4 linked regions of the Elephas maximus indicus genome follow. The protein of the gene in region 1 purifies or fractionates together with the protein of each later gene. This does not show direct contact. Links are inferred from orthologs where the notes say so. Each region holds a gene or a part of one and is shown in the gene's direction. Other genes may lie near its edges. The genes, in order: MAPK7, PFDN4, PFDN5 and VBP1.

Evidence for each region.
Region 2: the proteins of MAPK7 (region 1) and PFDN4 purify together in Homo sapiens (affinity purification with mass spectrometry; 3 studies listed by BioGRID and IntAct, with this or other methods). This does not show direct contact. The link is inferred for Elephas maximus indicus from reciprocal best matches to the Homo sapiens genes MAPK7 and PFDN4.
Region 3: the proteins of MAPK7 (region 1) and PFDN5 purify together in Homo sapiens (affinity purification with mass spectrometry; 3 studies listed by BioGRID and IntAct, with this or other methods). This does not show direct contact. The link is inferred for Elephas maximus indicus from reciprocal best matches to the Homo sapiens genes MAPK7 and PFDN5.
Region 4: the proteins of MAPK7 (region 1) and VBP1 purify together in Homo sapiens (affinity purification with mass spectrometry; 3 studies listed by BioGRID and IntAct, with this or other methods). This does not show direct contact. The link is inferred for Elephas maximus indicus from reciprocal best matches to the Homo sapiens genes MAPK7 and VBP1.

Annotation. Positions count from the first base shown.
Region 1 is NC_064820.1:213,458,295-213,465,163, reverse strand, and holds the start of MAPK7 (mitogen-activated protein kinase 7), read left to right. Parts: upstream 1-3,854; 5' UTR 3,855-3,994; intron 3,995-4,276; 5' UTR 4,277-4,281; coding exon 4,282-4,513; intron 4,514-5,113; coding exon 5,114-5,279; intron 5,280-5,925; coding exon 5,926-6,869. UniProt on the Homo sapiens protein: Plays a role in various cellular processes such as proliferation, differentiation and cell survival. The upstream activator of MAPK7 is the MAPK kinase MAP2K5.
Region 2 is NC_064843.1:15,426,235-15,433,691, reverse strand, and holds the start of PFDN4 (prefoldin subunit 4), read left to right. Parts: upstream 1-4,442; 5' UTR 4,443-4,639; coding exon 4,640-4,663; intron 4,664-7,457. UniProt on the Homo sapiens protein: Binds specifically to cytosolic chaperonin (c-CPN) and transfers target proteins to it. Binds to nascent polypeptide chain and promotes folding in an environment in which there are many competing pathways for nonnative proteins.
Region 3 is NC_064822.1:108,807,059-108,814,485, forward strand, and holds PFDN5 (prefoldin subunit 5), read left to right. Parts: upstream 1-4,413; 5' UTR 4,414-4,449; coding exon 4,450-4,521; intron 4,522-4,723; coding exon 4,724-4,826; intron 4,827-5,108; coding exon 5,109-5,140; intron 5,141-6,155; coding exon 6,156-6,230; intron 6,231-6,329; coding exon 6,330-6,435; intron 6,436-7,173; coding exon 7,174-7,250; 3' UTR 7,251-7,350; downstream 7,351-7,427. Other genes in the region: ESPL1 (separin), read left to right, coding at 100-227, 363-485, 805-960, 1,080-1,250, 1,363-1,467, 1,658-1,773, 1,933-2,016, 2,140-2,304 and 1 more. UniProt on the Homo sapiens protein: Binds specifically to cytosolic chaperonin (c-CPN) and transfers target proteins to it. Binds to nascent polypeptide chain and promotes folding in an environment in which there are many competing pathways for nonnative proteins.
Region 4 is NC_064846.1:784,955-792,660, reverse strand, and holds the start of VBP1 (prefoldin subunit 3), read left to right. Parts: upstream 1-4,703; 5' UTR 4,704-4,735; coding exon 4,736-4,828; intron 4,829-7,706. UniProt on the Homo sapiens protein: Binds specifically to cytosolic chaperonin (c-CPN) and transfers target proteins to it. Binds to nascent polypeptide chain and promotes folding in an environment in which there are many competing pathways for nonnative proteins.

The DNA of each region.
Region 1 (6,869 bases):
ATTCGAAGGCATCAATTCTTTTTCGGTCTTCCTTATTTATTGTCTAGCTTTTGCATGCATACGAGGCAATTAAAAACATCATGGTTTGGGGTCAGGCATATAGTGGCATCTTTGCTTGTTAACATTTTAAAGAGGTCTTTTGCAGATCTGCCCAATGCAATACGGCGTTTGGTTTGTTGACTGCTGCTTCCATGGGCATTGATTGTGGATCCAAGTAAAATAAAGTCCTTGACAACCGTAGTATTTTCTCTGTTTGTCATGTTCCTTATTGGTCCCATTGTGAGGATTTTTGTTTTCTTTATATTGAGGTATAATCCATACTGAAGGCTGAAGTCTTTGGTTTTCAGTATGTGCTTCAAGTCCTCTTCACTTCTGGCAAGCAAGGTTGTGTCATCTGCCCATCACAGGTCATTAATAAGTCCTCCTCCAATCCTGATGCCACGCTCTTCTTCATATAAGCTTCTCAGTTTTGGTCAGCATACAGATTGAATAAGTATGGTGAAAAGATACAACCCTGACACAACCTTTCCTGATTTAAAACCATGCAGTATCCCCTTGTTATCTTTGAATGATTGTCTCTTGATCTATGTACAGGTTTCACATGAGCACAATTAAGTGTTCTGGAATTCCCATTCTTCTTAATGTTATCCACAATTTGTTATGTTCCACACAGTCCAATGTCTTTGCATGGTCAATAAAACACAGGTAAACATCTTTCTGGTATTCTCTGCTTTCAGCCATGACCCGTCTGACATCAGCAATGACATCCATCATTCCATGCTGTCTCCTGAATCCAGCTTCAATTTTTGGCAGTTCCCTGTTGACGTACTGCTGCAACCATTTTTGAATTATCTTCAGCAAAATTTTACTTGCCTGTGGTATCAATGATATTGTCTGATAATTTCTGCATTCCATTGGATCATCTTTCTTTGAAATAGGCGCGCATATTGATCTCTTTCAGTTGGTTGGCCAGGTAGCTGTCTTCTGCATTTCTTGGCACAGGCGAGTGAGCACTTCCAGCATTGCATCTGTTTGCTGAAACATCTCAACTGGTATTTCATCAATTCCTGAAGCCTTGTTTTTCGCCAGTGCCTTCAGTGCAGCTTGGACTTCTTCCTTCAATACCATCAGTTGTTGATCACATGCTACCTCCTGAAATGGCTGAACATCGACCAATTCTTTCTGTTATAGTGACTCTGTGTATTCCTTTCATCTTCTTTTGATACTTCCTGTGTCATTCAATATTTTGCCCAAAGAATCCTTCAATATTGCAATTCGAGTCTTGATTTTTTTCTTCAGTTCTTTCAGCTTGAGAAATGAATGTGTTCTTTCCGTTTTAGTTTTATAACTTCAGGCCTGCACATTTCATTATAATACTTTACTGTCTCTTCTAGAGCTGACCTTTGAAATCTTCTGTTCAGCTTTTACTTCATCGTTTCTTCCACTTGCTTTAGCTACTCTATGTTCAAGAGCAAGTTTCAGAGTCTCTTCTTGTATCCATTTTGGTCTTTTTTTTTCTTTCCTGTCTTTTTAATGACCCTTTGCTTTCTTTATGTATGATGTCCTTGATGTTGTCCCCACAGCTCATCTGGTCTTCGGTCATTAGTGTTCAACGCGTCAAATCTATTCTGGAGATGGTCTCTTGATTCTGTCAGTTTGTCATACTGTGGTGGCTTGCATGTTGCTGTGATACTGCAACCTATGCCACCAGTAGTTCAAATACCATCGAGTTCACCCATGGTGGAAAGGTTTCAGCAGAGCATTCAAATTAAGACAGACTACGAAGAAGAGGACCTAGGGACCTACTTCCAAAAAAAAATTGGCTAGTGAAAGCCTTATGGATAAAAAAAGAAGTGTAGGTTTACCAAAATTCATTTTTGGTCTGGATCCAGCCCTTTGGCCACTAGGTTGCGACATAAGAAATAAACCCTTGGTCTGGCCCTCAGACTCACTACTGGGCTCTGTCCTGATCTCTCCCTCTTCCATTCAAATTCAGGGCAAAGGAGAAACCTGCAGAGGGCATGCATTCCTCTACTTCTCTGCCTCCACACTTTTGCTCACCTGTTTCCCAGTCCCAGTGTTCTTCTTTCTCATCTAACTTGGCAGAAACCCAGCCATCTTTTAAGTCCCAACTCCAAAATTGCTTCTTCCTTCATAGCCCTACCTCAAGCTCTGCTCGCTGCTGAAAACTTCCTTCCAGCTCACACTGGCGACTACATCTACCTCTGATTCCTTAACCCTGCGTCTTAGAGGGATGCTGCTTGATAAATGTTTGCTACGTGAACATAAGTAGCCCTGGTGGTGCAGTGGTTAAATACTGGGCGGCTAACTTAAAGGTTGGTGGTTCCAACTCACCAGCTTCTCCAAGGCTGAGGGAGAAAGATGTGGCAGTCTGCTTCTGTAAAGATTAAAACAAAAGCCCGTCGCCTTCGAGTGGATTCTCGCTCACAGTGACCCCAATGGACAGGGTAAAACTGCCGCCATAGGGTTTCCAAGACTGTAAATCTTTACAGAGGTGTACAGCTGTATCTTCCTCCTGCGGAGCATCTGGTGGATTTGAACTTCCTACCAATTGGTTAGCAGCCAAGCACTTAACCATTGTGCCACCAGGGCTCCTTTCTGTAAAAATAACAGCCTTGGAAATCCCGTGGCGGCAGTTTTACCCTGTCCTATAGGGTCGCTGGAAACCCTGGTGGCGTAGCGGTTAAGAGCTAGGGCTGCTAACCAAAAGCGGGCAGTTCAAATCCACCAGGTGCTCCTTGGAAACCCTATGGGGCAGTTCTACTCCGCCCTTTAGGGTCACTATAAGTCGGAATGGACTCGACAGCAAGGGGCTTGGTTTTGGTTTTATAGAGTCGCTGGGAGTCGGAATCACCTTGGTGGCAATTTTTTTTTTACATGAATGAACGATTGGGCCCTGGGACGGCTGAGGGCTCCTGGGTTCTAATGCGGCTGTGCCCTCTCTGGGCTTCAGCTGGCCCTCTGGCTCTGGAAGGGCAGAGGCTGGACAGCTCGGCCTGCTGATCGCCCTCGTCTCCGCGGCGACCCAGAGCACGGGAGTCGCAAAACACAGTAGAGGCGTGCAGGAAACATGCAAAAAGGCCAAGAAAAGACGCGCTGAAATCCAGGGACGCCGCAAGCTGTGAGACCAGCCGCCGGAAGTCAGTGGCGGTTCCAGGCCGGACGCTCTAGAATCCCGGAAGACCGGGATCTCTGTGGTTCGACGTGACCACTGTTGTGTTCCAGGAAGGGTGCATTCCCAAAGCAGACAAACAGGACCGAGAAAATGGGGACCTCAATCCCCCGGGCCATGAGGACTGTTAAAGGAAGAGGGGTCCAAAGGAACTGACAGCCAAGCTGGTGGTCGCACACATCTCACCCCCTCTGCCGGCCTTCGGAGGAGGGGGAGGGATCAGCGGCTCATCAGCGCCGGTAATTGGTCGATTGATGACGTGCGTGCGCGTGCGTACGTACAGGGGTGCGGTCTTCCATTCACTCGCGCCTCGGGAGCCAGCGCGCACGCGTCTTACCCAATACCCAGGGATGGCGTAAATACAGGGGCGCGGTCTTTTATTCAGGCGGGCCTCTGCTGCCAGAACGTATGCGTCGGAGGGCGGCGCCCCGCGGGGTGCACACCCATTACAGCGCTAAGCAGCCTCTGGGCGGCTCCCGCCCGCGCGTTGGACTGCGACATGCGGACGCGCAGCGAAGAGGCGAGGCTTCCTCGATTGGTCGTCTCCGATTGGACGCAACAACCATGAGAGGCGGGACCCTCTGCAGAGACCGCTCGACGATTGGCTAAAGACTGGAGGGCCTGTGGTCTGGGGGGCGGAGCGGGGCGGGGCGGGGCGGGGGGTCTGTCCCGGCAAAGAGCGACGCTGAGGTGGTGGCCGCGGCTCTTGAAAAGCAGTGAGCGACTGTACTGCGGACAATAGGCCGGGAGCCCTGGGAACTTACAAACGTCCTGAGGCGGTGTCGGGACAGGCTTCGTTTGGTGAGTGTAGATCTAAGAGAAACGCAAGTGCCTCGCCCTTTTCTTCCCAGACCGCGGCTCGCAGCCCCTCCCCCACAGCTGTCCCTGCGTTTAACCCTTGACCCCCAGCGTGGGCACCGCCTCTCGGGTACAGCGTGCCTGCCACGTGCCAGCCGCATCTTTTCGCTCCCTGTCAGCCCCATCGGCTTAGGGAACTTGAAAATTCATGGCCCTGCTGCCCCATCCCCCAGAGAGGAAACTGAGGCTGGGAGTGGCCCCCTCCTTACCCGCATCTCTACACAGATGCCATGGCCGAGCCCCTGAAGGAGGAAGACGGCGAGGACGGCTCCGGGGAGCCTCCGGGGCAAGTGAAGGCAGAGCCCGCCAATCCCACAGCCTCGGTGGCGGCTAAGAACCTAGCTCTGCTCAAAGCCCGCTCCTTCGATGTGACCTTCGACGTGGGCGAGGAGTACGAAATCATCGAGACCATAGGCAATGGGGCCTACGGGGTGGTGTCCTCTGCTCGCCGCCGCCTCACGGGTGAGCCAGGTCCCCAGGCAAGGAGCCCCTCTTCCTGCTTCTGATCTGCTCCCACCTTTAGCACTCCCCTGGACAGGAGTGCCATTCACCTCTCACAGGCTGGGCCGCTGGATCCCAGAGAGAGGGAGTAACCTGCCCAGGCTCACGTAAGGAGGAAGGAAAGGAAGAATATGAATTCTGGTTCAATTCAACACATATTGATTAGGTACCATCAGTGGGCCAGGCTCCATGTTAAGGACAGGTCTCTGAAACTCTGGTCTGGTGCTTTTGCCATTGTGTCAGTCTACTTTCTGGGACACAGGCAGGTAGAAATGTATTCCGGAGCTAGAGGCTGGCATATAGGATTGTGGGGGGGAGGATGGTAAAGTCTGAGATGGAGAGAGATGTAGGAGATAGATTGAGTACAGGCATTAGTCTTAATGCAAGCGCCAACTAGCTGTGCAACTTGCCTCATAACATAGTTGTGAAGGGTAAATTTGATAATGTTTGTAAAGTGTTTAGCACAAGGCTTGGTATTCAGTATATATAGGTGGTAAGTATATGGTAGCTGTTGTTATTTGTATCCTCATTCCTTGGTTCTTGCCTTTTCCCTGTTTTCAGGCCAGCAGGTGGCCATCAAGAAGATCCCTAATGCTTTTGATGTGGTGACCAATGCCAAGAGAACGCTGAGGGAGCTGAAGATCCTTAAACACTTTAAGCATGACAACATCATCGCCATCAAGGACATCCTGAGGCCCATGGTGCCCTATGGCGAGTTCAAATCTGTGTAAGGAGTGGGGCTGGGAAAAGGAGGCAGAGTTGGGACCTTTTCTGAAGGCTGGTGCCATATTGCTGAAGTTCCGAAAAGGCAGCTGAATCTAATGTAAAGGCAGGCTGGGAAAATACCGATGATTCCAGGACAAATGTTCCTTTATGGACTTGCCAGGGCAACTGTTATTCCTTGAGAAGAGTTTAAGGTTTATAGAATCTCGGTATATTTGGTAGCAGACATAGGACATTCATACCATCACTACTGATTCTACTCCTTGGCAGACGTTGCTAATGAATCACGGAACAATTTTCTTCGGAAAGTAGACACGTCCTCCCAGTTTTTGTCATAGTTCTTCTAGCAGCCATTACCAAACAATGGAGATAGTCCCAAAATTAAACCTATTAGCCAGCATAGGTTTAGGCCAAATCCATCTTTTACGTGATGGGGAAACTAGGTCCAGAGAGAAAAGTGATTTAACCCACTTTATGGCACGGTTGTAGACAAGCTAGAATCTGTTCTTCCTCCATACCATGCTGCGGATTCCGTGGGGCAGAGAGTAAGGTCATTCATTACCTGTCTGGAGTCAGGACAGAGCACTGAGGCTAGGGCTATTCCCTGAAGTGGGAGGGCCAGCCCATGCCTCTCTCCGCCTCTCTTGCAGCTATGTGGTCTTGGACCTGATGGAGAGTGACCTGCACCAGATCATCCACTCTTCACAGCCACTAACGCTGGAGCATGTGCGCTACTTCCTGTACCAGCTGCTTCGAGGCCTCAAGTATATGCACTCGGCTCAGGTCATCCACCGTGACCTCAAGCCCTCAAATTTGTTAGTGAATGAGAACTGTGAGCTCAAGATTGGGGACTTTGGCATGGCCCGTGGCCTGTGCACCTCGCCTGCCGAACACCAGTACTTCATGACTGAGTATGTGGCCACGCGCTGGTACCGGGCCCCTGAGCTCATGCTTTCACTGCATGAGTACACACAGGCTATTGACTTGTGGTCTGTGGGCTGCATCTTTGGGGAGATGCTGGCCCGGCGCCAGCTTTTTCCAGGCAAAAACTATGTGCACCAGCTGCAGCTGATCATGATGGTGCTGGGTACCCCGTCACCAGCTGTGATTCAAGCTGTGGGGGCTGAGAGGGTGCGGGCTTATATTCAGAGCCTGCCACCACGCCAGCCCGTGCCCTGGGAGACGGTGTACCCAGGCGCTGACCGACAGGCGCTCTCGCTGCTGGGCCGCATGCTACGTTTCGAGCCTGGCGCCCGCATCTCAGCAGCTGCTGCCCTGCGCCACCCCTTCCTGGCCAAGTACCATGACCCTGATGATGAGCCTGACTGTGCTCCACCTTTTGACTTTGCCTTTGACCGTGAAGCCCTCACCCGGGAGCGTATTAAGGAGGCAATCGTGGCTGAGATTGAGGACTTCCATGCCCGACGTGAGGGCATCCGCCAGCAGATCCGCTTCCAGCCTTCCCTACACCCTGTGGCCAGTGAGCCTGGCTGTCCCGACATTGAGATGCCCAGTCCCTGGGCACCTGGTGGGGACTGTGCCATGGAGTCGCCCCCGCCAGCCCCACCACCGTGCCCCGGCCCTGCACCTGACA
Region 2 (7,457 bases), on another chromosome or scaffold:
GGAGGGGCCTGACAGGTAGACCACCACAGAGGCAGCTCCTCCAATTGTGTATCCATTCCATGAGTGGGGATCTGCGGGCTCTGGAGAGGGCCGCTTAGCTAAATGGGTCACCATTTAATCAGCAGCATCAACAGGTACCTTCAGGAGGAAGTGAAGCGTCGACAAGACTTGATCTTACAAGCTCAAGCAACACTAAAAAATGCCAATGTTTAAATGCTGGTTCAATTAAAAAAAAAAAAATTCTTTGTGGGTCGAATACAGTAGCAGGCAGCCAGTTTTCAACCTGATGCAAGCGAACGCCATCATTCACCCTCTGTCAGCATGGTATTTCCAAGTGGTCTTTGGGGTCATTAGTGATTTCCTTCCCTCACCTGCAGTCTCCGGATGCTCCCACGGACACCCTGGGCTTCTTCCTTTCTCTGCTGCAAACAGCTAAGGACTGTCCCCAGCCAACGAAAGAGCTGGAAATGAAAGTTGGAAATTCTCGATATTAAGGAACTGAAAGAATGCTAAGCAGAAAGCTTGAAAGTCCCAGATGTGTACTTGCAGAACTGGGTTTCCTGCTAGGAGAGAGATTAGCTGAAATGACACCCGGGGCTGGGGAGAGGAGGGGGTACGGACTGTGAAAAATGGAGGAGAACCTCTGAGCACCAATGAAACAAGGGTCTCCAAGGTGAGCCAATTTACAGCCAAGGCTGTCAGGGAGCAGTCCATCTGTCCAGATTCAGTGACACTCCCCTCGTCCCTGAGCCTCTGTCCAGCCCCATTTGACCCAGCCCTTGTTGACAATCCTCGTCTGATAACCCAGAACTCCCACGTGGAAGACACTGTTGGCTGCTGGCCCAACAGCTGTTACCTCCTTCTTCCTTTTCCTTGTTTTCAGAAACCCAATTGTGTTTGTTGTTGCTAGTTGCCAGGGTCAGCTCCAACTCATGGCAACCCCAAGTACAACAGAACAAAACCTTGCCCAGTCCTGCACCACCTTCACAATTGTTGGCAGGCTAGACTTGATTGTTGTGGCCACTGTGTATTTTGAGTGCCTTTTTTTTCCAATCTAAATTTTTTTGTTTTTTTTTTTTCCAATCTAGGGAGCTCACCTTCCAGCACTTATCAGAAAATACTCGGTTGTGACCCATAGGGTTTTCATTGGCTGATTTTCAGATATAGTTTGCCAGGCCTTTCTTCTTAGCCTGTCTTAGTCTGGAAGCTCTGTTGAAACCTGTGCAGTATGGGTGATCCTGCTGGAATTTGAAATACCAGTGGCGTAGCTTCCAGCATCATAGCAACACACAAGCCAAGCCACCAAAGTATGACACACTGACAGACAGGTGGTGGCAATTGTATTTAGGCAGCCATATTTTCAGCCATAACAATCATGATTGTTTAAGGTAATCACTAATCCATTGCTTTTGCCAGTGACTGAGCTAGAGGTTGGCATATGGCTCAGTTCTGGCCCAAAAGACAGACATAAGGGCAAGGGTGCTGGAGCATTCTGGGAAAGGTTTCCCTCCTTGAAAAAGAGAGAACATGAGAGAGAGAGAGAGAACACATGAGGGGGAGCGTAAACGGTGACGTGGGCTCTGTCCCCTTTTCCCTGTCTTCATATGTACTTGTATGAGGACCTGGAGAAGCAACAGCCATCTTGTGAAGGGAAAGCCAAAGACTCACAGAATATCCAGTCTAGAGCCAGAACTTCCTGGAACTGCTGAGCCTGCCCAGCCATCACCTACCTCCACCCATAACCCATTGCTGTCGAGTCGATTCCGACTCATAGTGACCCTATATGACAGAGTAGAACTGCCCCATGGAGTTTCCAAGAAGCGCCTGGTGGATTCAAACTGCCGACCTTTTGGTTAGCAGCCATAGCACTTAAACACTATGCCACCAGGGTTTACCTACCTCCATGTCACTTGTTAGAGGAAAAAAAATGACCCCCTATTATACCAGCCACTCTCAGTTAGGCCTTCTGTCCTCAGAGCCAAACATGTCCTGGTGTAGCATTTAGGCTCCATGAATAGATAACAAGAGACTCAGATGTTGAGAAGGCATGATAACAAGCTTGCCCCTGATGAGGAAGCTACTCAGCGGCACATCTATTAGCATGCGGACCATCCTAATTGTGAGTACCTGAACAGAATCTATTTCAGTCACCCCAGAGGTATCCTCCAGGCACCACCATCTGAGTTTCCAAGCCTACTTTATGGGTCTCTGATTCACACAACTGTCATTTGTCACTTTAGATCCTCTTGGTTTCACCTTTCCTTGGCCTCACCTGCTTCTGGCCACTTGTTACACCCAGCAGTTACTGCAGTGGCCACCCCAATGCCCCCTCTGTCTGGGGTGTCCTTTTCCTTTGGTTACCCCATGGCTGGCTCCTTCCTATTCGTAGCTCAGTGGCCACCTCTACAGGGCCAGTCTCTACTGCTCTTTTGATTTTCTCTGTCTCAGCCCCTCGTTTGTTTCCTTCATGCACTTGGTGCCATTTGTGGTGATTTTGTGCTTTTGTCCTGTCTCCCCCTCCATTGCCTGCTTCTACAGTGTTTCCATATAGCTGTTCTTTGTGAGCTCTTGCATGAATGGGTGTCACTGATGGAGCATCTACTAGGTGCTGGGCCCTGTGCAAAGACTTAACCTGAAGAAACTCCTTCCTTCAACAAATATGTGCTGAGCAAGTGTGAGCTATGTGCTGGGAAGACTTGCCTACAAAGGGCCTGGCGCCCAGAGCGGGGAATCTGATGGAAGAACAGGCAAAGTCACTGTGGGGCTAAGTGCTTTGGTAGGGAAAGCAGAGGCACTATAAGGTCCCCTTGCCCCCATTTAACCAAACAGGAAATTGGAACTTGGAGAGAGGAGAAGACTTGTCTAGAGCAGCAGTTCTCAGTGTGGCCCAAGGACCCCTGGGGATCCCTGAGATCTTTCCAGTGAAACCACAGGGGCTTCCTTTTTCCAACTATACATCTGGGTGAAGCCAGATTTCCTTCATATACAGTAAAACCTGTGAAAGCTGGAAATTGTGTAAGGAAGAAACCTGCTGGAGAAGGAAAACCCCAAACCAAAATGAGGTAGGAGTCTTGATAGACAGAGCTAGTAAGCACCTTGTCAAAGGTGGGAAAACTTGCAAAACTTGGAAAAACAAGGCACTCCCATCGAGTTCCGGCTTTCACAGGTTTCACTGTATTTCAACTAAATAGCATATCGCAACAGATTGACTGCAGAAGCAGATACGAGAATACAACCTTCTACCGAGCCAGACATTAGAAGGATTTGTAGAAGTGCAAAACAATGCCATTCTTCTCAATATTTGTTTTTGTTTTGGAAAACAGTTATTTTTCATTCAAATGTTGCTTACATTAATATGGAATGAACTTATTGTTTTTAATTAAATCATATATATATTTTTATGTTTTAATTTCTTGTATGGTTTTGTTTTGCTGTCGAGTTGGCTCCGACTCATTGCGACCCCATGTACAACAGAACGAAACACTGCCTACTCCTGCCCCATCCTCAATCGTACCTATGCTTGAGGCCATCTTTGCAACCACTGTGCCAATCCATCTCCTTGAGGGTCTTCCCCTCTTGCTCTGAACCTCTACTTTACCAAGCATGATGCCCTTTTCCGGGGACTGGTCCCTCCTGATAACATCTCCAAAGTGCGTGAGATGAAGTGTTACCATCCTCCCTTCTAAGGAGCACGCTGGCTGTACTTCTTCTGAGACAAATTTGTTCGTTCTTCTGGCTGTCCATGGTATATTGAATATTCTTCTCCAACACCATAACTCAAAGGCACTAATTCTTCTTGTGTCTTCCTTACTCACTGTCCAGCTTTTACATGCATATGAGGCAATTGAAAATACCATGGATGAGTCAGCGCACCTTAATCCTCAAAGTGACATCTTTGCTTTTTAACACTTTAAAGAGGTCTCGTGTGGTAAATATCGATAAATATAATCTACATAAACAGAAGCTCTTTGAGGTCCTCCGTGACTTTTTAAAAGTGCAAAGGAGTCCCGGTATTAAAAAAGGGACAAAGAGAATCACGATCTAGAGTTGCTGAGTTAGCAACTGGCAGGCTCAAGCTGTACACAGTAAAAAAAAATTACAGTAGTTGTCCAATAATATTGTGGAATAGATTAATTAATTGGGGTACTTCTTCCTTCACACCTTCTGAATTATCAGTGCACGTAAATATCACATCCTATTGTCAAAGCCCTTTGTTCTTAGCTCTTTATCAAAATGCTAGTTTGTTGGATAGATGGAATAGAAGTTCCCTTTCCTCCTCTCCAGGCCCCGCCCACGGAGTCGCCCCTCCTCCCGGCCCCGCCCCTCTGCGCTTTTTTGCGTTGGGCGCCCCCTACCGCCGGCTGCTGGATTATGTGGCTGCTTGCCACACCCCCCTGTTTCCGTGGGCCCACAGGGGGTTGCCTGTCCCTTTAATTGGGATGTACCAAGTGCTTTCAGCTTTCATCTTCCTTCCTGAGTTCGAGTCGTTAGTTATCGTTGGTTGAAGGTTTCGAGAAGGGAATGTGGAGATCGTGTTGTATTTTTCAGGCGATCAGGGCCAACAGGAAGTGAGAGAGGGCACGGGGGAGAATCGCGCCGTTGCGGCCCTCCCCACCTCGCGCCGTAGTCGAGTCCCAAGATGGCGGCCACCATGAAGAAGGCGGTGAGTGGGGCCTTCGGGGTGTCGGGTGCTCCGGCAGCCGGCGGGGGGCGGCCGCGGGGGTCGGAGCAGCGGGATGCTGGGGATGCGCAGCTCTGAGCCCCGGCGTGGGGCCTGGGTTCGAGGTCTCAGCCCTGAGGATGGCCCCGCGGCGAGGCTTGCCGGCGCCCGGCGGCCCCGGGCGTCTTCTTAGGCCGCCGCCCGACAGAGGCGACGTGCCCGGGTTGGGACCCTCGGCAGGCTCAGGCCGCCTCTCGCGGTGCTGAGTCCCCTGGGAGGTCTGAGGACCCCGCGGCCCTTGGGGTGTGGGAAGCCGAAGCTCTCAGTGACCGCATTTGGCCATCACACTAAGCGGTTTCCCTGGATCTACTACTGGGTAGGTGCTAGTAGTACCCTCGCCCACAGGTAAGGAAACTGAGCTTCCGAGAGGTGGAGGAACCTACCCAAGGTAACAGAGCAGGTGAGGGGCAGAGCCAGACCTGCGCCTCCGGATTATCTGGCCTCACGTCGGTGCGCCCAGCCCTGAGGTGCTCACGTCCATACTCCATGCCCCTGAGCCCGCAAGGCTAAAACCGGTATTGAAGCCAGAGGCTGTGTCAGGACCCAGCAGTCTTCCGTTATCCCTTATCCTCCCCTTTTCCCCCTTACAGGTGGAGAAACTTAGACACAGAGAGGTTAGTGTCCCCAAAGTGACTGAGCTCATAAATAGTATATCTGGGGTTCAAACCCAGGTTTGGTTTGTTTTTTCCCAAAGCCACCTTTTTTCCTGCTAAGCAAGTTGCTTCCTATTTGGGGTTTACGAATCCCGTTACAACTGAGTGGATTCCAACTCATAGCGACCCTATAGGACAGAGTAGAACTGCCCCATAGGGTTTCCAAGGAGCGGCTGGTGAATTCGAACTGCCGACCTTTTGGCTAGCAGCTGAGTTCTTAGCCACTGCACCACCAGGGTTCCAGTTTGGGATTTACAATCCAGTAAATCTACCCCGATGCTTAAAGATCTCCAGGTAAAAGAAAAATTAAATGAGGGTGGTGGTGGTGGCGGAGCAAGGACATAATGCCAGTCGATAGTTATTGCGGCTTTCCTGTGTGCTACTACAGGTTTATAGGGATGTGATATTTTTATCCCCATTTTACAGATGAGGAAACAAGCATAGAGGCAAAGCTAGAATTTAAACAGGACTTCTGCCTTCAGAGCCTTGTTTTTAACTCCCATGCCATGAGAATCCCCTGGCTGAAGGTGCTTGCTTTCCAAGGTTTTTGTATGTCTGTTCTCATTCCACTTCTGAGGCCACCTCAGAAGCATTTGCTTCCTTTGCTCTCCTACTTTTCAGTATTGCATAGTTTAAGCCACCTCTCCCTGGTCTCCAGAGACCATCCTGGTTTGCTCAGGGTTGAGGGGTTTCCTGAGACCCTGGACTTTCAGTGGTAAAACCAGTAAAGTCCTGGGGAAAACTGGAATGAGCTGGTCACCCTACTGGTCTGTCATTCACAAATGCTTATTGAGGACTGGAAGAGGGTTCAGGGCCGTGGTGATTCAAACAGGTCTGAAATTTTGGGAGATTCACTTCACCTTCAGTTTGCTAATTTGGTCCATCTGTTAGGTATGACCTTTAATACCCTGAAAGATATTAGTTATGTTAGCCCCCATCTTACAGATGAGGACACTGATGTGTAGAGAAATGGAGGAAATGGTAGAAAAATTATTCGAACCCTGGACTTTGCAAAATTTTTCCATCGGGTACTCCATTATGGGTTCGGTTAAATCAGCGGTTGCCAACCTTTTATCCTTTCATTCAGCAGAGATTTTCGAGCAGGCAATATGGCATAGTCTCTGTGTTAGGTGAATAGGAGTAAAGTCGTTGTCCTCAGAGCATCACAGAACATGTGCTCTAGGGGGAAAGGCAGCCTGTTTCTCAAATTATCACACCAAAAAATATAAAATTTCCACCTTTGGTAAGAACTGTGAAGAAAAGGCACTTGTGAAATGAGGACTGGAGTAAGGTTTGGTCTGAGTTCAGGGAAGGCCCTCCTGAGAAGGTGTCATTTCAGCAGAGATCTGTTAGATTACACACCGAGAGGAAGGGAAAGTTCCGAGGGGGCGAGGCATTCCAGAGAGGGAGTGTCTCCTGCAAAGAGCCTGAGTGCATTTAACAAAAGGAAAGCCAGAATGGCAGAGGATAGAGGGCCGGGGGAGACCCAGGATGGGAAAAGAGCGTGTGCGGAAACAGAAAGTGGCGGCCACACAGAAAGTTTTCTTCTTTGCTTTAGGAGCCATCGAGAGTCGCGTGGTAGATGCTACATGCTGCTCTGGATGTTTTCGATGTTAGGAGTAATCACTGCTAGGTGAAACCCGGGTGGCATAGTGGTTAAGAGATATGGTTGCTAACCAAAAGGCCGGCAGTTTAAATCTACCAGGTGCTCCTTAGAAACTCTATGCAGGCAGTTCTGTGTCCTGCAGGGTCTCTGTGAGTCGGAATTGACTGGAGGCAGTGGGTTTGGTTTGGTTTTGGTTTTAGGTTAGCTACACAGACAGACACTTTTTCCCTCTGCCCACTATAGGAGAAACCTTATCGGCATGTCATAATGATTGCCGTTTGTGATAAAATTGTTTGTATCTTCTTGTTATTGTCTTGTGCTATCAAGTCAGTTCTGACTCACAGTGACCCTATAGGACAGAGTAGAACTGCCCCATAGGGTTTCCAAGGAGCAGCTGGTGGATTTGAACCGCCAACCCTTTTGGTTAGCAGCCGAGCTCTTAACCACTTCAAGTACTTCCCATTTGTAACACATTACG
Region 3 (7,427 bases), on another chromosome or scaffold:
GTGCATTATCTCGAGTGTTGGATAGGGATTAGTACAGAAGCCAGAGAAGGGAATTCTTTGCAACAGCTGAAATAACTTGGGGTATGTCCTCTGTGTCAGGGGTGACTGTGTGTGTGTTGGCCCTGGCCACCCTCCAGCCTGGAACTGTGGGCAACACCCTCCTGCTGACCCGGCTGGAAAAAGACAATCCCCCGGTCACTGTGCAGATCCCCACTTCCCAAAGCAAGGTAGGCTTCCTGGGCCAGGGGACAAAGTAGGGCTGGCGTGGGTTTCTGGTCAGGCTGCTCAGGCTCTGTGGCTGGGGCATGGAGAGATGGCAGTCATGCAGACAAGCAGAGATCTCATGACCCTGTCTCCCAAAGCTTTCTCTGAGCTCAGCCCTAAAGGAGTTTGATGCCATCCAGAAGGAACAGAAAGAGAACAGCAGCTGTACTGACAAGCGAGAATGGTGGAAGGGGCGACTCGAACTGGATCATAGGATGGAGGTGTGTGCCCCCAGGGTGGGGTGAAGGCAGACCTGCCCTAGGAATGGCTCAGGGGATGCCAGAGCGTAGTTCTAATCTGATACACATGGGGTCACCATTAGTCAAAATTGACAGCAACTGGATTTGGTCACATTTGTCAAAATAGAGTGACACCATGTCAGAGTCCCAGCCCCTGGTTTCTTACCTTCTATGACTGGCAGAAAGATATACAAGACAAATACACACATTGGAAAACTCATTTCTTTCCAGAATGCTGGTACCCATGGGGAAAGAAACTTAGCTTCCTCTCTGACTCAAGATTCTGTTCTCCCACCTTCAGGTTCTCATCACTTCCCTAGAGAAGTATGTGTTGGGCTGCTGGCGGGGGCTGTTGCTGCCATCCAGTGAGGACCCAGGCCTTGGCCAGGAGGCTTCCCATTTAGAGGAGTTGCTGCAGGAATGTGGCTGGAAATATCCCAATCCCACTCTGCTGAAAGTGAGTTAAGAAAGCAGGGAGGGGAAGAAGCAGTTAGCCTGCGGACTTAATTCTCTTCCACTAGCAAAAAGGCCACTGTGAGTGGGTGATGGCACCCACTAACCACTGTTCCCCTGCAGATCCTGCTCAGCGGTGCCAGTACTCTCACCCCTCAGGACATTCAGGCCTTGGCCTATGGGCTGTGCCCAGCCCAGCCGGAGAGAGCCCGAGAGCTCCTAAGTGAGGCAGTGGGACATCTACAAGGTCTGACAGTGCCAAGCAATAGGCACCTTGTCTTGGTGCTAGATAAGGTAAGGAGCTGGAGGAGCAGATGGACAATGGGTGCTGTCCCATCCCTGTGCGCCTTCTGCCTGTTATGTATACCTGGCTGGGGACAGTAACCTCTGAGTACTTTTTGCCCAGGACCTGCAGAAGCTGCCATGGGAGACCATGCCCAGCCTCCGGGCACTGCCTCTCACCCGTCTGCCCTCCTTCCGCTTTCTACTCACCTACTCCATCATCAAAGAGGTGAGGCTCAAGGTGTGGAGCTGGGGATGATTGGCTACTGGGGGAGACCTGAGGCAAGACACAGGCAGAATGCTCTAGAGACATGAGTGGGCCTTAGGAATGCGTCAGAAATGGAAAGGGGCTTGGAGCATGCCGGAACTTGGGCCTACTGGCCAGACCAGTATCCTGATCACCAGTGTCTCCTCCTCAGTCCGGGGCCTCATCAGTGCTGAGCCAAGGCGTGGATCCACGTAGCACCTTCTATGTCCTGAACCCTCACAATAACCTGTCAAGCACAGAGGAGCAATTTCGAGCCACTTTTAGCAGGTCAGAGGGGTGAGAGTAAGAAAGGCGGGTGGGAAGGGTAGAGACAACATGTCCTTTTCTCCAGAATTTTGCTGTAGTCCGCCTTCTACCTAGCGTCCTCTTTGCTTCATGGCCCCTGCCATGCCATTCCCTGTTCTAACTGCTGCCTTTTCCCTGCAGTGAAGCCGGCTGGAGAGGGGTGGTTGGGGAGACCCCAAGCCCGGAGCAGGTGCAGGCGGCCCTGACGGAGCATGACTTATATATGTGAGTGCTCAGAGAGGGGGAGATGCGGGGAGGGGCATCCCAGGAGGGGACCACTGTGGTTTGCCTTGGGGCAGAGACACGATGCTGGTAGGTCAAGGCTCATCTCTCCCCTTTCTACTCTAGCTATGCAGGACATGGGGCTGGTGCCCGCTTCCTAGATGGGCAGGCTGTCCTGCGGCTGAGCTGCCGGGCAGTGGCCCTGCTGTTTGGCTGCAGCAGTGCGGCCCTGGCTGTGCATGGAAACCTGGAGGGAGCTGGCATTGTGCTCAAGTATATCATGGCTGGCTGGTGAGTCTTGAGGGGCAGGCCCATCCTGGGGCGTCAAGACTCCTGCTCCCACTCCACCTTCTTTCCCAGCTTTGAACCCTGAACCTACCTCTCTTATGCTCTACTTTCTTCCTGTCTTAGCTCCCTGGTATGCCAGGACTTTTAACCCTTAGAACTCTGGGCCAAGGGAGTTCCTCATTAGTTCAGCCCTCTTTACTTACCCCATACACACCCAATCATGTTTTCCTATGTATTCTCTTTCAGAGCCCTTACTTTGTATTTCTTCCCTTCTCTTCCCAGCCCCTTGTTTCTGGGTAATCTCTGGGATGTGACTGACCGTGACATTGATCGCTACACGGCGGCTCTGCTGCAGGGCTGGCTTGGAGCAGGTCCAGGGGCCCCCCTTCTCTACTATGTCAGCCAGGCCCGCCAGGCTCCCAGACTCAAGTATCTTATTGGAGCTGCACCAGTCGCCTATGGCTTGCCTGTCTCTCTCCGGTAACCCATTGGAAGTGTCGTATCTCTGACAGAAGCCATGTGACTATTCTATCTCCAAACTTAGATTAAACCATTAGGCTAAATATTTTAAGTGATTTTCCCCGCTGTTTTATATGAAACATTTCCTTTCGACTTAATATAATAAAGATGTTATTTAAACTCTCTTTTATGCAACTCGTCTTGAGAACATTTAAAGACAAGATTACTGCCCCACTCCTACTATGTGGTATGTGGCACTTAAGTGAGTGGGAACAGATTGCAGGAATTCAAGTCTGAGAGCCTTGGGAAGACAAAGCCATTGAACAGCTGGTTTGGCCTGGCCTCAACAGACAGAGCTGAAGGAGAGAAGTGCATCAAAATACTCTTCAGTGGGGATAGAGGCCCAAGGGTAGAGATAGACTCACTGAGAGCATCTTGGCCAGTTACCATCATGTCTATATCCTGGGAGTGACACTAGCTTTAGTCCTCAGTTGCCCTGCCCCTCTCCTAAGTGGATATTAGAGACTAGCTATTCTCTTCTGAAGGTGCAGCTATTACACTTGGCAGTGCCATGTACTGTAGCAGCAGATTGTGTGTGGAATTCTGCTTATGGACTGTAAGCTCCTCTGAAGCACAAATAGCATTTTACATTCCATATATCCCTCCTAACTTATGTTTATCTGTATGTTAGCTGCTATTGAGTCCACTCCAACTCATGGACAACACGTACAACTCATGTACAACAGAACAAAATATTGCCTAGGCTTGTCATCCTCACAATCACCAGCATTTTCAAGTCCATCGTTGTGGTTATTGTGTCAATCCATCTCACCAAGGGTTTTTCCATCACCTTTGCTGGCTCTCTGCTTCACCAAATATGATGTCCTCTTCCAGTGACTGATTGATCCCTCCTGATGATGTGTCCAAAGCGAAACAATCAGACAATATTCTGTTGTGATCCATAAAGTTTTCCTTGTCTAATTTTCAGAAGTAGATCACCAGGCCTTTCTTCCTAGTCTTTCTTAGTCTGGAAGCTCTGCTCAAAACTGTGCACCATGGCTGACCCTACTGGTATTTAAAATACTGATGGCATTGCTTCCAACATCATAGCAACATGCAAGCCAGCACAGTAAGAAACTGGATGATGGATGCCTCATACAACACATGGTAAAATAGATTGCATTAATCAATAAACTCTGCTGTACTTGTTGGTTGACAATGGTACCTCCTTACCGTTCTCTCCGCCTCCAGACTCATATTCATTTGTCCAAAGAACTTGCTCCTTGCCTATCAGTCACTACCACCCACGTGGAGTAGCATACATTACGTTGCTTTCCAATACTGTGGTTTTAAGACCCGGCAGTGTTTTCATTCTGTTGTACACAGGGTCGCTATGAAACGGAATCAACTCAACAGTACTTGTCTTATTTTTAAGTTCCTGGATGGCAGGAGTCTTGTTTGCTACAACTTTACTGAACTAGGTTTAGGTTTCTTTATAGAATGAGCGTCGTTAACTTCTCTAACCAAACGGGAGCGCCGGAGAGGTGGCAGTCCCTCCTTCCCTTCCGAGACGGAGGATCATAGAGATGTCCGGCGCAGCGAGGCCTCCCGGCGCAGCCATAGAGATGTGCAGTGGACGCCTAGAGCGTTGCCGGCGAACAGGCTTTCCCTTCGTTAGTCCTTCCCAACATGGCGCAGTCGGTTAATATCACGGAGCTGAATTTACCGCAGCTAGAAATGCTGAAGAACCAGCTGGACCAGGTGGGGACGGGCCCCTGAGACGCCCCTTTTCCGCCTCATATCTCCCCTGCCCACACTACTCCCTCGCCCGCATTCCTCCCCAGTTTGGAAAGCTTCCGTTCCCAGCCGAAAGCCCCACCGCGTCCCAGGTGCCGCCCCCTCCCCGGCCGTGCTCCCCTCTTTCTCAAGCCCCTGTACGGACCCTGTTTCCCGTTATATGCAGGAAGTGGAATTCCTGTCCACGTCCATTGCCCAGCTCAAAGTGGTACAGACCAAGTACGTGGAAGCCAAGGACTGTCTGAACGTGCTGAACAAGAGCAACGAGGGTATGGGTTAGGCGGGTGAGGGCAACCTGAGGAATGTGGCAAGCCGGCTTCTCCTCTCGTACCACCTCCTAATCTAGTTTTCCTTACCTGAGGGAAGAAAACAATCCATTACATATTGTATACTGCTTCATGAACCCTTTGCATGTTGCTTAGCTAGAGCTGCCCCTGTTTCTGTTCTTTTCATTCTTTCTCTGGGTGCTGTGCCATGTTTGAACTCCCTTTAACGTCTTAACGTTGGAGCTGCCAACTTTCCCCAGGTGTTTGTCTTTATTGCTTTCACAGGGAAAGAATTACTTGTCCCACTGACGAGTTCTGTATCCTTTCGGCAAGAACTGCTCTCCTGCTTTCTCCTTTCCTTCCCTCTGGGGAACAAAAGGGGGGAAGGTAATTTTGATTATTCCACGGTCCCCCATGATTTTGAGAACACCCCTCTTATTATACACACTTCCCTTTTGCTGTTTGAAGATATTAATGTAATATGGAGATAAAACTGGGGGTTTACACTTTGGCTAGTAAACTAGGTAGAAGACACGAGCAATAGAAGAATAGGATATAGAAACTGTTCCTAAACTGCGGTCGCTAAGCAACAGGGATTGTGTCCACCTGTTGAGTGTTTTACTTGCATGAGCAGGTTATGGTGGTACAGCGTTTGTAATCTGTAGTCTGAGAACTGACAGGCTAAAAGAACTGCTCTCCTGCCTTCTTCCTTTCCCCTGGGGAAAAAAGGGCCGGAAGGTAGTTTTGATTACTCCACAGTCCCCCATGATTTTGAGAACACTCCTCTTATTATACACACTTTCCAGCTCCCCTATCTAACTTGGGGCCAACATCCAGCTAACAGCTTGTGAGTACCAGGGAGTACATAGACTTGAAGTGTGATAGCACTGTAGTGAAGGGCTAGCAGTGTAGTTGGGAATGGTTAAATAATGAACATTAAATCCCTTAGGAATTATCTAGTCCATGGTTGGAGATGTTAAGGAAAAACAAGGCTGACTTTTCACTTTCACTACGCTAGAGCAGTGGGAAAACATTGTGTCTAGACTTTCTGGAATAGCTAATATGAAGTCTTAATGAAAACTGCTTGGAGGGTGGGGGATGGGGTCAGGGCAAGAGAGTGTTCCATCTTATGTCATTTTCTCCATAGGGAACCAACTTTTCTCTGTCTTTCCCCATCTGGAGTTTAGAGGTATAGTTCTCAAGCCTCTAGATTATTCAGTACCTGTGTCTCAGCATTTTAGAAAAGAAGTGTCTTAGGAGGTCAAGTAGGCTGGCTGACAGGGAACCAAGGGTAATGCTAGGCTAGTTTTTCCCTTAATCCTTGCTTCTCAGATGTATGTCCCTGGGAAACTACATGATGTGGAACATGTGCTCATCGATGTGGGAACTGGCTACTATGTAGAGAAGGTGAGCTGGAGGAAACGTGGATGCCCTTCTAAACAGGGAAATATCTAAGGTGCAGCATGAGGTCTGCTCTTATCCCCCATTAACCTCTGACCTATGTAGACAGCTGAGGATGCCAAGGACTTCTTCAAGAGGAAGGTAGACTTCCTTACCAAGCAGATGGAGAAAATCCAGCCAGCTCTGCAGGAAAAGCATGCCATGAAACAGGGTAAGCTTGGCCTGGGGCACCTCCTGACACTGTTTTTGACCTCCATGGTAAAGAAGTGGATTGCAGGGTGAATCATGGGTGTGTTCCTTTTGCTAAATTAAAACCATGTTTTTGTATCTCTTTCTGTGGTGCTTTCACGTATCATTCTTTAGATCTGTGTTACTCTTTCGACCTATGTACCCACTATTTGTAGATCCCTGGTTGGGTGCTTGAGAAATTTGGAGGAAGGAAATCATGTCTGTGTTCTTGTGGAGCTCCTATCTAATTGGAATAGAATGGCAGGAAAGAAACATAGCCCAAACTAATACTAGCAATTGTAGCCCTGGCTGTGCGTTGAATCACCTGGGAAGTTTAAAAAGCAAGCCTGGGTCCACTCCCGGCCAACTAAATCAATCTCTGGGAATTGTTCCCAGGGGTCAGTGTTTTTTAAAAGTTCCCCAGGTGATTCTGTTGCAGTCAGGACTTAGAACTACTTCTAAAGGCAAAAATCTATCACATTATAATTTTCTGGTTATGTCTGACTCATTAAAAAATAGCTTTGCTCATTCGTTAATGTATTGATGACTTAACACATTGTAGGATCTGAATTTGTGTTACTGTGTGTCTCCCACAGTGGATCACTGTGTTAAAAACTTTATTAACAAACTGTAAATAGTGGTCTGCCTTCAAACCTGTCATTTTTCCTTACCTCTAGGTTAGGTTCTGACCAGGGTCTTACTCTTCCTTTTTCGTCCACAGCTGTTATGGAGATGATGAGCCAGAAGATTCAGCAGCTCACAGCTCTGGGAGCAGCTCAGGCCACTGCCAAGGCCTGAACTTGTTGCAGAAATAGAGCGGAGGGACCCTGCTTCAGGGGCCTGGGACTCTGTGGGCATGGCTTCTTAGGGCGGGGGCGGGGGTCTCGTCGAGCTTGTGTTTAACGCTAATAAAAGTGCCAGCTGGCCAGAATGTTTTTGTTTTTGCATTAATCAGGGACTAGGAATGGGGTGGTC
Region 4 (7,706 bases), on another chromosome or scaffold:
GTGTGCGTTAGGGTTGTATTCTTTCACCATACCTATTTACTCCATATGCTGAACAAATAATCCGAGAAGCTGGACTATATGAAGAAGAATGAGGCTTCAGGATTGGAGGAAGACTCATTAAAAACCTGCATTATGCAGATGAGACAACCTTGCTTGCTGAAAGTGAAGAGGACTTGAAGCACTTACTGATGAAGATCAAAGACCACAGCCTTCAGTATGGATTACGCCTCAACATAAAGAAAACAAAAATCCTCATAACTGGACCAATGAGCAACATCATGATAAATGGAGAACAGATTGAAGCTGTCAAGGATTTCATTTTAACTGGATCCACAATCAACAGCCATGGAAGCAGCAGTCAAGCAATCAAAAGACACATTGCATTGGGCAAATATGCTGCAAAGGACCTCTTTAAAGTGTTGAAGAGCAAAGATGTCACCTTGAAGACTAAGGTGCGCCTCACCCAGGCCATGGTATTTTCAATCGCATCCTATGCATGTGAAAGCTGGACAATGAATAAGGAAAACAATGAATAAGAAGAGTTGACGTCTTTGAATTGTGGTGTTGGCGAAGCATATTGAATATACCATGGACTGCCAAAAAGAACGAACAAATCTGTCTTGGAAGAAGTACAACCAGAATGCTCCCTGGAGCCAAGGATGGCGAGACTGCGTCTTACATACTTGGGACATGTTGTCAGGATGGATCAGTCCCTGGAGGAGGACATCAGGCTTGGTAGAGTAGAGGGTCAGCGGAAAAGAGGGAGATCCTCAAGGAGGTTGGATTGACACAGTGGCTGCAACAATGAGCTCAAGCATAACAACAATTGTAAGGATGGTGCAGGACCGGGCAGTGTTTCGTTCTGTTGTGCATAGGATCGCTATGAGTTGGAACTGACTCGACGGCACCTAAGAACAACAACAACGTGAGTCGGAACGGATTCAACGGCGCCTAACAAAAACAACAGTCCTACTGCCAGGGCCCCTTGGCTTGGACGCTGGTGTACAGGTTTCTGTTTGCATTCCTGCTTTCACTTCTTCTGGGTATATGCCTAGGATTGGGGTTGCTAGGTTATATAGTAGTTCTATGTTCACCTGTTTGAGGAACTGCCAAACTGTTTTCCACAGTAGCTGCACCATTTTACATTCCCACGAGCAATGGATGAGGGTTCTAACTTCTCCATATTCTCACCATCACCTGTTGTTTTCTGTTTTTTTGATCACTGCTATTCTAATGGAAGTGAGATGATAGCTCATTGTGGTTTCGATTTGCATTTCCCTAATATCTTAGTCTCCCAGCTCCACTGAAACCTGTCCATCAGGGGTGGTCTGGCTGTTATTTGAAATACTGTTGGCATAGCTTTCAGCATCACAGCAATATGCAAGCCACCACAGTATGAGACACTGACTCCAGATGGTGGACTGACAGACTACAGCCTTCAGCATGGATTACACCTCAAAATAAAGAAAACAAATATCCTCACAAATGGACCGATAAGCAGCATCACAATAAACAGAGAAAATGTTGAAGTTGTCAAGGATTTTATTTTACTTAGGTCAATAACCAAGGCCCATGGAAGCAGTAGTCAAGAAATCAAAAGATTAAAAGCTTGCAAGCAGGCATCCAAGGCACAACAATTGTTCTCTATTCCCCTAGAGCAACAGAGGAAGAAGGAGAGTCAGGAACAGGAGGAGGAAATGGAATGTGTAGCTAATTGCCTCCATGAACAACTGCTCCTTTGCCTCCATGAACAACTGCTCCTTTGCCATGAGATCAGAAGAACTGGATAGTGCCCGGCTGCCATTACCGAATATTTTGATCAAAGATTCTATAAAAGAATCTTGATCAAAAGGGGGAAAATGTAGAACAGAATTTAAAGTTCTCATAAACTCCAGACTTTCTGGAGCCATGGAGGCTGGATGATCCCCGGAAAATATTGCCCTGAAATAATTTTTAAACTTTAAACCAAAAATATCCCCTGAAGACTTCTTAAAACCAAACAAACCCCACTGAAGCCATCTTGCACCAGTCTCCTGATTCCTGCCACCTCAAGCCACCATCTCTTGCTGTCTTCCATGTTACAGCTCCTCTCTCCATCTCTCCATGTGTCCCTTTGTCATGGACTGAATTGTGTCCCCCAAAAATATGTGTATCCATTTGGCATGGTTCCCAGTATTGTGTGATCATCCACCATTTTGTCATCTGATGTGATTTTCCTATGTGTTGTAAATTCTCTCTCTATGATGTTGATGAGATGGGATTAGTAGCAGTCATGTTAACGAGGCAGGACTCAATGTACAAGATTAGATTGTGTCTTGAGCCAATCTCTCTTGCGAAGTGAGCAGAGAAACGGGGACCTCATACCACCAAGAAAGCAGTGGCGGGAGCAGAGCATGTCCTTTGGACCCAAGGTTCCTGCATGGATAAGCTCCTATACCAGGGGAATATTGATGGCAAGGGCCTTCTTCCAGAGCCAACAGAGAAAGAAAGCCTTTTCCTGGAGCTGACACCCTGAATTCGAACTTCTAGGCTACCAGCGTGCGAGAGAATAAACTTCTGTTTGTTGAAGCCATCCACTTGTGGTATTTCTGTTACAGCAGCCCTAGATGACTAAGACACCCTTTAAGGCTGGCAGAATGGCAAAACTGATCAATCCCCTTGTTAGGGTTCCATACACCTTATTTGCATGATTCCAGCCCCACAAGGGTGCCATGCACCTTATTTACATTATTAGCAAGCTATCCAGTCCCCTTGGTGGGCCACAAGCACATCATTTGCATATTCCCGCCCTGTCATTTGGTGGGAATTACAAAACCATGGTGAGAAAGGCCATATAAAAGCAATCTATTGCCCTGCAATTGCATTAGGCATATCTGGTGCAAATGATTTCTTTAAAATCTTAAAAAGCAAAGATGTCACTTTGATGACAACGATGTACCTGACTCAAGCCATAGTCTTTTCAGTTGCCTCATGTGCGTGCAAAAGCTGGACGATGAAAAAGGAAGACTGAAGAAGAATTGATGCATTTGAACTGTGGCGTTGGTGAAGAATATTGAATATACCATGGACTGCCAGAAGAACAAACCAATCTGTTTTGGAAGAAGTATAGCCAGAGTGCTCTTTAGAAGCGAGGATGGTGAGACTTTGTCTCGCTTACTTTGGACATGTTATCAAGAGGGACCAGGTCCCTGGAGAAGGACTTCATTCATGTTTGGTAGATGGTCAGTGAAAAGGAGGAAGAGGATTGACACAGTGGGTGCCACAATGGACTTAAACATACCTACTATTGTGAGGATGGTGCAGGACCAGTCAACGTAGCTGTGAGACAGAGCCGAGTTGACTAACAACAATGGTAACGAGGGCTAATGACGTTGAGTATCATTTCTTGTGCTTGTTGGCCATTCGAATATCCTCTTTGGTGAAATGCTCGTTCAAGTCCTTTACCCTTTTTTGATTGGGTTGTCTTTTTGTTAAGTTGTACACAGTTAGATTTTAATAAATGTTCACCCAAAAAAAACAAACCCGTTGCCATCGAGTCCCTATAGGAGAGAGTAGAACTGCCCCAGAGCCTGGTAGATTTGAACTGCTGACCTTTGGATTAGCAGCCATAGCACTTAACCACTACGCCACCAGAGCTTCCTAATAAATGTTAGCCAGTATTATTATTGGAGCCCTGGTGGCACAGGCACAGTGGTTAAGCACTAGGGCTGCTAACCAAAAGGGCAGCAGTTCAAATCCACCAGCCACTGCTTGGAAACCCTATGAGGCAGTTCTACTCTGTCACTATGAGTCGAACTCGATGGCAACAGGTTTTTATCATTATTACGTATATGTGTCCCCACTAAGGAAGGGGACAGGCTTTTATCCCTTATTCATGGTAGACTGTGTCTGAGGGGGTGAAGGGCTCCTCAGGAAGCATTCCAGTGAAAGCAAAGGGAAGAACAAAGCATGGTAGGTAGATGTCAGCAAAGAGACCCAAGAATTCCTTGTTTTCAAAAAATAAAGCTCTTTCTTTCAATGTGTTGTAGTGCAGGACGTTGCTGGGGAAGTTTGTGGGCCTAGGAGTGTAGGTAGAATTCTCAGGAATTTATACAGAGATTATGAAGTTGGAAAACCTTTGAGCTGGGGTTATGAGATTCTGAACAAAGGCGGTTTTCGGGAAAGGTTGGTACGATGGGGGTAGTATTGACTAGAATCAGGCCAGCGGCTGCACTTCATAAGACACCAGCTAAGTCCCCTCCATGGAGCAGGAAGCTCCCTGTATGGTGAGACCGGAAAGGGGCAGAGGCCAAACTCCCATGGTAAGCGTCTAGGTCCCAAGTTAGATCTTGTCCGAGAAGAGACAGGGTCGAACGGGATGCCATTCTGGAGCATGCTGCCTGTTCTGGGGTGGAGTGTAGTCCAGGCTGGTTCCCGATTCCCGGGCTCTCCAGCCCTAAACGCACCCATAAAATCCCCGAGACCCGTTTACCCAAGGGTCGAAATTAGTCCTTCCAGCAGCCCTCAGCCGCTCCTAGGCTGCCGCCTCCACGCTTGTCACTCTGGGGGCAGCCAATCAGCACCCACAGGTTGGGCGAATCAGCGAAGAGTAGCTACTTTCCGCGCACCGATTATTGAGCAGACTCACGGGAAAGGGGCGGGCTTACAGGGCCTGGCGAGCCAATCACGGCCCTCAGGCGGGCCGGCGGCCTGGGAGGCAGTTAGTCTGGAGCCTGGCCGCACACGCTTCCCCAAGATGGCGGCTGCTAAGGACGGTTGTGGCCTCGGAGAAGTGGCCACAGGGAATGGGCGGCGGCTCCACCTGGGGATTCCCGTGGCCGTGTTTGTGGTAAGAGGCACGCGGGCCCGAGGCTCCTTGGCCCGAGGCCACGGACTGAGCTTTCTCGTCCTCTCACCCCACCTCGGCCTTGACTCTTGGAGGACGGAGCTGAGCTCAAGGTCCAGGGCGGGAGTGCTCGGCCTTCTCTCCCTCACCGCATCTAAACGGTTTAATCTCAACTGCGGTCCACCCTGAGGAAATGCGGCCTGAGAGAAAAGGGAGCGCGGGCTGGCGGGACTCAGGGGCGGACGGGGCTCGGAGAGCAGGCAGGGCGACCTGAGGGACCGCACCGCTGCCGGGTTTCTTTAGCTGCGGCCTTTGGAAACCTAGAGAAGGTTAACGTGAAAAAGCTCACGACTCAGCCTAGATGCTGGAGAGACAGACAAATAATTGGACAGAATATAATGAATCGAACGTGGTGTAGGCTGAAGAGTTGGTTTTGAGGTATTAAGATGTGAAAATAGAGGCTGGTACCTAATCTGTGGAAACCCTGGTGGCGTTGTGGTTAAGTGCTACGGCTGCTAATCAAAGGGTCGGCAGTTCGAATCCACCAGGCGCTCCTTGGAAACTCTGTGGGGCAGTTCTACTCTGCCCTATAGGGTCGCTATGAGTCGGAATCGACTCGACGACACTGGGTTTGGTTTTTGGTTTTGGACCTGATCTGTTGAAGGAATGCAGTGATCTGTTGTCTCTGGGGGAATGGTAGGAGAGACGGATGGTAACGTAGATTAGGATGATCCTGAGGTTCTTTGTATGTGTTGCTAAGTAACTGAGGCTTTATCCAGTAGGCAGTGGACTGCCATGAAAAGGTTTCTAAATAAAGCCACGGTATAATCATATTTGGTTTTAGGTACATCATTCTAACACCTTAGTGGAGAATTGGGTTCAGACAGAAGGTGGGGACGCAATTTGGAGGCTTCACGGGGAGACCAACCCAAGTCCAAACAAAGAGAAGCAAGTAAAAAAAAAAAGTAGAAGCTACTAACTCTGTCCTTCTGTCAAGCTATTTCAGAAATATTACTTGAATAACGAGAGAAAATCTCTGACTGTCCTTCCAGGCCAGTATTATCTGTCTGTCCTTACTGAGTTCTGGCAGAGGTACTATAAAATATCAACGGAAGTTTTTCAAACTTTCGGTTTGGTTTCTACCTGGATTGCTTTACCTCTACTTTTTTTGCTAATCATGCCTCACATTCTTCAAAAGACTCATTTCTTTATTATTTTGTGTAGAGCACTTTGATTGGCACTTAATATTGTATGGAGCCCTGGTGGCACAGTGGTTAAGAGCTTGGCTGCTAACCAAAAGGTCGGCAGTTCAAATCCACCAGCTGCTTCTTGGAAACCCTATGGGGCAGTTCTACTTGGTCCTGTAGGGTCGCTATGAGTCAGAATAGATTCTACAGCCAACAGGTTTGGTTTTCAGGTTTATATCGTGTATTTGCATTTGTTGATATAATTTTGTAACTATTTTCTTTGTTTTCTCCCCGAGCTGGTACCATTTATTTCTTTATAATTATGTCCCAACAGTTGTAACAAGAGATAAAATTTTTCAGTGTTTACTATGTGCCAGCACTTTTCTAAGGATTTTGTAAAACTCTAGACGGTAGGTATTCTTATTCCCATTTTGCAGATGATGAAAGTGAGGCAAAGAGCCCTTGAGTAACTTGTCACAGGTCACACAAGGTGTAAGTGAGGTATCTAGGATTTGAACTTAGGCCATCCATGGGGTTCCACAGCCTACCCACCATATTCTGCTAGGTGGAGGAAGGCATGGTAGTTCTCTTGTTGTTGGATGCCATTGAGTTGATTTCTACTCAATTTCCACTCATAGCGACCCCATGTGTGCAAAGTAGAACTGCAGCATAGGGTTTTCAAGGTTGTAACTTTTTTGGAAGCATATCACCAGGCCTGACTTCCGAGGTGCCTCTGGGTGGGTTTGAACTGCTAACCTTTCAGCTGTTAGTTGAGTGCTTAACCCTTCACACTACCCAGCAGCCCATGGTAGTTCTCTTGCTCAGTGTTACTTCTGGTCCTAGCACAGTGCTTGACCCATAGTGTAAGCTCATAACTAAGTGTCACACTTCCTTAGTGCCTTAAACCCGCAGTTCTAAGGAGTGCCTGACATGTTATCAGGAAGGACCAGTCCCTGGAAAGGACATCATGTTTGGTAGAGGGGTCAGCAAAAAAGAGGAAGACCCTCAATGAGATGGATTGACACAGTGGCTGCAACAGCGGGCTAAGACATAGCAACAATTGTGAGGATGGCGTAGGACTGGGCAGTGCTTCCTTCTGTTGTACAGAGGGTCGTTGTGAGTCAGAATTGACTCAACAGCACTAAACAACAATAACAGCGCCTTTTTACTACATTCATGGTGCTCAGCTAGAGATGTATTTAGAAATCTAATTCAGAGGATGAACTTCATCTGAGAGCTTTATACAGTCTTATCTTTATCGTTTTAGATTTTATATTTAGATCTTTGATCCATTTGGAGTTAGTTTTTGTGCATGATGTGAGGTATGGGTCCTATTTCTTTTTTTTTTTTTGCAGATGGATATCCAGCTATGCCAGCACCATTTGTTAAAAAGACTGTCTTTTCCCACTTAACTGCTTTGGGGCCTTTGTCAAATATCAACTGCTCATATGTGGATGGATTTATGTCTGGATTCTCAGTTCTGTTCCATTGGTTTATGCGTCTGTTGTTGTACCAGTACCAGGCTGTTTTTGACTATTGTGGTGGTATAATAGGTTCTAAAATCAGGTAGAGTGAGGCCTCCCACTTTGTCTCTGTTCTTCACAAATGCTTTATTTATCCCGGGCTCTTTCCCTTCCATAAGAAGTTGGTGATTTTTCTCCATCTCATTAAAGAGTGTCGTTGGAATGTGGATC